Schizosaccharomyces pombe: one gene and its partner. Changing the gene in region 2 together with the main gene of any one other region gives a genetic interaction. Each region holds a gene or a part of one and is shown on either strand. Other genes may lie near its edges.

Region 1 (3,046 bases), on a different chromosome or scaffold from region 2:
TTATGTTTATCTCGTGAGGTCAAACAAGATAGTGCTAATATTTCTTGGTGGAGTGGTAAATGGTATGGCAAAGGATATGGCTATCATGCCTTTACTTTGCCTGCTCGTGAATTTGTCTGTAAAGCCATAGAACTTAATTTGTTTGCTACTGATTTCTTCTTGGGTCACTTATTACTGTTTTTTATGCTTCCTGTGATTTGTATCCCATATATTGATCGTTGGCATTCAGTTCTTCTTTTCTGGTTGCGCCCAAGTCGTCAAATTCGTCCTCCTATTTTCTCTACCAAGCAGAATAGACTGCGGAAACGTATTGTTCGTCGTTATTCAGCCTTGTACTTTTCAATTTTGGTAATATTCCTTATTCTTATTATTGTTCCATTGGCAGCTGGTGCAGAAATCCGCCAAGGATTAACTGCTTCTGAGGCTGTTGCCAAGGGTGCTGTTGGATGGAACCAAACTAACTCTTCAATTGGTAGCGGTATCATTCAACCAAGGGACACGAATTATACTGCTAATTATTCTTTCTGGTACGACAGATACCATTTCGAATTCAATACCACTTACTAGATGGGATTATTAGAAAAATCATTTAAAATGAATTTGAAAAGATGCGCTAGTTCGCTATTATATTACACTGATGTTCTGATGAGCTTTCGTCAAGTATCTCAGCAATTTATTAATTTTATTTGTTACACTCATTTCATTCATACATTTCAGCATGTGCTTGGTCCCATCTCTTCGACTTGAGTTATTGAGCTCTGAAGGATAAAAGCAAAGCTAAAGGGTTAACCGTTTATCATTTTTTACTCATACCATCTTTCTATCTACGTTACATTTGCTATTTCACCATTTACAAGTTTGAGATTGATGAGTTTTGTTACAAGCCTTTTCAGGTTACAGTTTGATGGGCTAGGATTTTATGCATATATATACATTTCTTCATTTATCTATATACAAATGAATAAGAATTCCCATTGGTTCACAAAACTTTTACCTATATTATTGCTGGTCAGTTAATGGATATTTGTTTAAAATATAAGGTGATGTAATTGTGTAAAAGTATTGAAGTAGATTATGATACCGTACATAAATTGATCTTTTGGTTGAATACTTATTATCTAGTGAACGTTTAATTTAGGTTTTTCAGATCAATAGAAAGTTTGAAATAACCACTCTAGTGTGCAATTCCATTTCTCTTTTGTATCACACAAGTGGAAGGCTGAACAACTAATCAACTTAATCGTAAAAGTTATCAGACGCCCTATCCTTGTATTAGTTATGGATATCTGAATGGACTCATGATTACAAGATTACGAGCGTCCTTTCATCCATTTGATATACTAGTTGTCAAAACGATATTAGAAACTATATATGTGTACAAAATTTTATTTTTAACATATCATTTTCATTAAAAATCATCAATTTGAATTTCTTTTTATTTTAATTTTAAATCAGTTTAGTAGTTACCGTGCAGTGCGTAAATATTGAAAATTGAATCTAGGCTCATTTAAAGCGTTTTACTAGCGATAAATATAATAATGAAACATAAAATAACACGCACTAACTTGTTACCGCAGTCGAATGAAATGGAGTGAAAATAGGAAAGAATCCTTTTGTGGTTCGAATACCAATCTGGTTCTTGAGACAAACAAATCTATTAGGTTTTTATATTTTTATAGTAATGGTACAGCTATTCGGTGGGGCTCTTTGTGCTGATTTCCCTCCTAAATTTCTCGATGCTAGCGTTTTGCGTCAGATTCCTGACAACCAAGAGGTGTTTTTGCAAGATTCCAAGGAAAACCTAACAGTGATCATTGAGCTTTTGGAAAAAATTGAGAAGCCATTTGATGGAAGTGTGGCAGCTTACCATTTCAATAGCATTGCATTCGATAATGATGCATCTCAAAGAGTAATTTGGAGAGACAAAAGTCTTGGTGAAGACGACTTTGAGGGCATGAGAAGCGAAAAGGCTAGTGGATCTTCTGTACAAGGTTGTCAGAGGGTCCTTGAAAAAGGAAAGCGAAATCCTGAATCCGCTACCAATGTGGCAATCTTCGTGAATGTGATAACTTTGATTGACTTTCAAACAGATATCGTAATCTCCGTAAATGCTCCTTTACCTAACACTTCCTCAGTTCCCTCTTCTGTTGAAAACATTCCCCCTTCTGATCAAAGCATCGTTCGCGCTGCTCTCGAAACAATACAGCGAGTTACTCGATCTCTTGTACTTGTCGATAAAACAGTATTTGCTTAAAGGATGATGGACATAGGCAAGCAAATTAACTAGCCCACAACACTTAATTAAGATTTTCATCTAGGGAAATACTTTTCAAGTTTTATTTTTCTTTATCCGAAAGGAATTGTTTCTCTTATTTATAAAAACCGGTTATTCCAACTTGTATGAAGGGTTTTAATAAAAACATCTGATACTTGATAACCGATTAGCAATGGTTTTCACTTTTTCTGCTATTATTTTAATTTTCCCATTCTTCCATTGTTAATAGTATAAGTTTCACTGTGTCTTTACAGTTTAATGTTTTATGATTTGAGAGTACAACGTAAAACGCTAGTTTCCAAAGAATAACGGAAATTACAATTTCAAGGTGTTTTGATTGTACAGCTTTTGTCCTTTACACTGCCGCTGTAGGACAGTGGTGATTAAAACAAGTTAATCATAAAGAATTATTAAACATTAAAATACTTTCTAATTGTCCCTAACTCCGTGCAAGTAAAGAACAAATATAGCGAATGAAACAATCTTTATGATTGAAACCTGTAAACGACTGACTAGAAAATACTGAATAAGAATTACCAAAAGATAGAAGATCTCTTCATTGAGAGGAGCTTTTCCACCCTTTGCAATAAAGAAAACAAACATTTAGGATATCATCATACGAAGAAGAACAGAAAAGAAGTAAAAGACAGAAAGTTCATCCCCCAAGACGGGTTCCTTTTCCGGGGAAAGAAGAAAAGGTCGACAGAGGTTCCGCAATGGGGAGTTGAGCATGCGACAGTTGATCAAAAGAGTGATAGTTTTTTACCCAAG
Region 2 (4,989 bases):
TGGGTCAATATCGAGCACCAACGTGTCTGCAGTAGTAAAGTCACTGGAGGTCATTCTTAAATAAGAAGTAGAACATATATATCGAGCATGGCAACTAGCCAAAATATCAGAGTCCACTGTTCCCGGAGGAAGGTGAATAATTTCAAGATTATTGACTTGTAGGAAGTCGCTTGGAAGAAATAAATGTGACGTACTATACCTAGCATTTCGCTCAAACAAAGCATTTGTGCCAAACGAGATATAAAGTGGGTTTAGTCCATTGTGATCCATGGCATATTTCAATTCTTTTGACTCAGGCATAAAGGGAGCAGCGAGAAGAGCATGTGTGATTTGTTTGACACACGCGACATCTTCGGCAGAAGAGCTTAACGCCTGTAGCGCAATCCTCCTCCTAATATTCGATTTGGAAAGCAAAAGGGAGACATTTCCTACACGAATTGTTGCAGGAGAATTGTCATCGACTAATCTTCTCAAAGAATAAAGCTCATTGAGCAGCTTTTTTTGCAAATTGGAGATGATCTGCACATGTGGAGCGGTCGACGACCTGCGTATCGCCAACACAGAGCGCTTCCATGTTTTTATTCCAAATCTTAGCATAATTTCTCTGAGCCTATGAAAAACTAATCACAACAAAGGATCGCATATGAACCACACTAGATTCGAAAGCCAAAAAGGAACGAGATTACCGGATTTTAGATAGTATTAGTTAAAGTTCCAAATACACAATAAAACATTTACTAATAAGTTAATAATTCTTAAAACAAATACTATAGTGAATAATTGTTGTCTGATGGCACCCGAAGGTTGTATAGTAGTTGTGTCTATTGAGTAGTGTCGTAGATGTTATATCAAAATACCTTAACCCAGCAGTATAATATTCTTGGAAAATCATTGGATATTGTTAACCCTTAAATCTGTATATGTTTATTTATTTGTTCAGTCAAACAATCATAAAAACAAAAAAACAAAGAATTTTGCATTTTGTTAATTTAGACGAATTCATTGTTCATAAACAGTGACAAAATCCGAGGTTTATACAAGTATTTGAAGAAAACGGTATTCGACAGAATGAAGCTTTAAGTCTAAAATGGATTAGAAGGAACTGAAATGAGCTACATAAATTGCTCTTAATATTGGAGAACTGCTAACATTTATAACCTTTTTAATGATTACACTAAATCTTCACCTATTGCTTTTCACTTACTTTAATGGTCATTCGATTCAAACTTATTTTATCTAAATCTATTACCTTTTGCCAGTAAAATACTGTATAGTTAGTTAGCAAAGAATATAGGCGAGTAAAGCTCTAAACTATCATACTTCTAAAATCAAAGAAAACCAAAGAAAAAAGCAGATGAAAGAATTTAGTAACATCTGGATTTTGAGTAATAAACTGATTGACCTAACTTATTGACAGGTTGTGCGATATCAGTTGGTTTGCCAAAAACAACAATAATTGAAAATTTATGAATGGATTCACCAGAATATTAGCCTAATTGCTTTTTGATTCATTTAAGGAAATTCAACTTTTAATTTGAAATCAGCGAAAGCCGAAAAAAGGATGGTATGAATTTGAAATATTTTTTAATGCGAGCAGGTAATATTGACTTTAATAATAAAATAAAATAAAATGTCATTATAAATGCGATTTGAGGATTTAGTAGAGATATGGATAAAACAGATATGAACCAAACTGCATGAATATTAGGAAATCAAGTTGTAAATATAAAACAAGCATTTTTAAAAAAAAACAAAAAATATTACTCTAAAAATGTTAAGAGGTCAATTTAAGGTTTGTTTACTCTCATTTGTTATGGTGGTAATAGTTTCAGTCATGCATCATCGAAATGTAAACAAACAGCGATCCTATATATACCAAAAACAACAACCATTCCTTTCCATCACACATCTTTTTTGAGATAAAATGAACAATTCAAAACTCTCTGTCCCCGGACAGTATGAAGATGAAAGCAGTACTATATATGTAGGAAATATAGATTCCCGACTTTCTGATGAAGAAATCATCAAACACTTTTCAAAATATGGTATGAACACACAAGTCAAGGATAAAAACACGAGGAAAAACATTAGAAAACATAAATAAAAGCGATATATTAATCAATTCTTTAGGACAAGTAGAATCCATCTTTCGTCGATTACTTGATAGTTTTTATCCTAAGGAAAAAGCGAAACCTTTTAAACCTCCTAAAAATGGAGTGCAATATGGGTTCGTCAAATTCGTTAATGCTGAAAGCATTGAAGAAGTTCTAAAGGACGCTAAAGGAATGACTCTGGGCCAAAGAAAATTGTAAGTGACTGAAGGGAAAAATTAGAGACAAGCATTACAGAAAAAAAAATCGAAAAATCATTCTCCAAAAAATTACTAACCTAAAAAAAAGGACCATTAAAGCAAGAGTCGTAAATCCTGCGAAACTGACAGACAAAAAATTCAAACCTAACGATACGTCAATCACTGCGAACGTGTTCAATCCTAGCATCCAAAACAATACAGATGAGGAAAACGTTAAGCCAGGACTCAAACAGTCTCAGATTAAGGAATTTATTCCAAATGTCGAAGAAAGAAATTGGGAAACTGTGAGAGGCATAAATTCGCGTAACCCGAAGCCAGAAACAACGCTTACCATACCGTCTCTTGGTTTGGAAGATATTAGCATGCAAGTTGTACCAAATGCCTTCGCTTCTACGTTACCCCTTAGTATCTTGAACCTACCTGCCGAAGTCACACCGATTGACTTATATAACCACTTTAAACAGGCTGGTGTAGTAAAAGGGACGGCGGTCAGCCAGTTTCTTGACCAAAGAGGGTTCCGGTATGGCGAAGTGATTATGGATTCAGTTGAATCATGTCAAAATGTAAGCTCAATATGAAGAGAAAACCCCAATATTTGCATAATCTATTTCATGATACTAACCTCATTATTAAGGCAATAGAAAAATTAAATAACGTTCCATACAAAGGAAGCATTTTAGAGGTCAGTATAAAAAATAAAGCCTCTTCTTCAGTGAAGTCAATTCCCACAACGCCGACTGGTGAAAGCTTATGGCCTTTCCCATCGGAAAACGCTAACAAAACTCAAATAAATATCGAAAATGCTACATGTTCGAAGATGACATGGATTATGGGCTCACCAACTAAGGAGAAAAGCCAATGGGGTAGCGTTTCAACTACCGGTGTTTCAAATCAGCAAAATCATCCAGCCGCTTGGAACCCAGATAATAAACCTCAGTCAATCGTGCATTGGGACTCTTTACGTGAAAGCTCTCCAAGTATCCCTAATTCTCCTATTGACCCTTCAAATCTATACGTTAAAAATTTAGATGATACCGTCATCACATGCAAGAGTCAGCTGGAAGATTTATTCTCACCCTTCGGGTCGATTTTGTCTTCCATGTTAGCATGCTATCCAAATTCAGGAATCTCCAAAGGTTATGGTTTCGTAGCGTTTCGTCAAATAGAGGCTGCCGTTAGAGCCAAAGACACATTGAATGGAATGATGGTTGGGAAAAAAAGGATTTTCGTTTGCTTCGCGGAGCGAAAGTCTGACAGAATTCGTAGATTGCAAGCATTTTTTGCAAACAAACCTACTTCAGAACAAACAGCGCAGCAAGACAACAAAGCTTTGTTCGTCAAACCAGAAAGAAGCTCTACTGTTACCATCCGAAAGCCAATAGAGTCTTCTACAAACAAAATCTCTGAGAATCCCACGACCCTTTCAAGTAAGGTTGAAAATAAGAATGAGCCTAAGACTGGTGAAAACAAAGAACCCAGTCAGACAAATGAATATGTTAACTGTAAGCAAGAAAATAAGGAACTTAGTGGACAGTTATCAGGCAACTTGGATATAAAGAAAGAAGCAGGAAAATTGAGCCATGACGGAGAACAAGGAAACTTGTTAAAACCATTGGTATTCCATGCTAACACAAAACTAAATAACCGAGGGTCTGCTAAGATGGGTTCAACAGCCACCAACTTGAAGAAGATACAAGACATGCTTCACAACAAAAAGCTGAGTAATGCATACTTTGTGCCAAGAGCAAGAGCAACAACCTGTACAACTCTTACGTACGTAACAGTTGAGCCCTCACATTTCCAAGATGAGGACTGTAATGAGTCAACGAACATGCTTTCACTTGTCGGGTACATGGACAGCTATCCAGAAGCTACATCCAATATCCAAAAAATGAATTCCTATCATATTAAAGATTCAAATAAGGAAAATTTTTTATCAACAACAAAGGTTAACAACAATTCACCAACAACTATTCAGTTGACGCAGATTTAACAAGATGCGGTGAAGATATAACTATGAAACAAAATTCATAATGCTATATCCCTCAAAACTCCGATGAACAAACTTTTAACTCCTTAAAATATATACATCGTGAACGGATGGATTTGCTAGTATAACCCTACAGTATCTTACAACTACCACAACGTGGAATTTAAACGAAACCGTTTATTTTTAGTCTTTAATCAAAAACATTATAAGGAAATTTGATTTGAAAGATAATTCTTTATTAATTCGAAAGTTGACAGCTGGATCAGATTTGTTTAGAGATTTATGATTTTAGCAGGTTCATTGACTGACATCCAGTAGCTTGGTGACAGTTTGACGAACCAGATTAAAAACCATGAGTTCATTAATAGCGTTAGGTAAACGGCAAACATTATTGTCACATAATGAATTTTTAAATTTTAAAAATCAAAAGGGTTTCTGCAAAAGGTTTATTTCTCAACTAAACAAGAAATCCAATTTTCCCGCTCTTGCGATGACAGTTCCTGAAGCCACAAAATATCTCAAATCTGTGAGCATTTCTGTTCCATATGTTGGGTCTTATATGCTTTCAATTGCTTTAAAAAGTAATCGACGCGCTCCGTCAGCTCGTGGTCAAATTGCCTTTCCTCATCCATTTCAAGAGCCTCCTAAAATTTGTGTGTTTGCTAAAGGTGCAGCTGCAGATGAAGCT

The links. Genes that interact genetically often act in the same process or in processes that back each other up.
Region 1: of crp79 (region 2) and mog1, a mutation in one rescues a mutant of the other (synthetic rescue), as found in Schizosaccharomyces pombe (one study listed by BioGRID).

Annotation. Positions count from the first base shown.
Region 1 is NC_003421.2:2,246,800-2,249,845, reverse strand, and holds mog1 (Ran GTPase-binding protein Mog1), read left to right. Parts: upstream 1-1,640; 5' UTR 1,641-1,681; coding exon 1,682-2,254; 3' UTR 2,255-2,485; downstream 2,486-3,046. Other genes in the region: cell wall and secondary septum 1,6 branched 1,3-beta-glucan synthase catalytic subunit Bgs4, read left to right, coding at 1-567; Golgi rhomboid protease Rbd2, read right to left, coding at 2,931-3,046. UniProt on the Schizosaccharomyces pombe protein: Involved in the Ran-GTPase system for nuclear protein import and poly(A)+ mRNA export. Required for mitosis-to-interphase transition.
Region 2 is NC_003424.3:1,791,908-1,796,896, reverse strand, and holds crp79 (poly(A)-binding protein Crp79), read left to right. Parts: upstream 1-1,924; coding exon 1,925-2,045; exon of another isoform or gene 2,046-2,130; coding exon 2,131-2,308; exon of another isoform or gene 2,309-2,399; coding exon 2,400-2,874; exon of another isoform or gene 2,875-2,945; coding exon 2,946-4,304; 3' UTR 4,305-4,464; downstream 4,465-4,989. Other genes in the region: protein Mmc1, read right to left, coding at 1-597; mrpl1 (mitochondrial 54S ribosomal protein uL1m), read left to right, coding at 4,654-4,989. UniProt on the Schizosaccharomyces pombe protein: Binds the poly(A) tail of mRNA. Involved in the export of mRNA from the nucleus to the cytoplasm.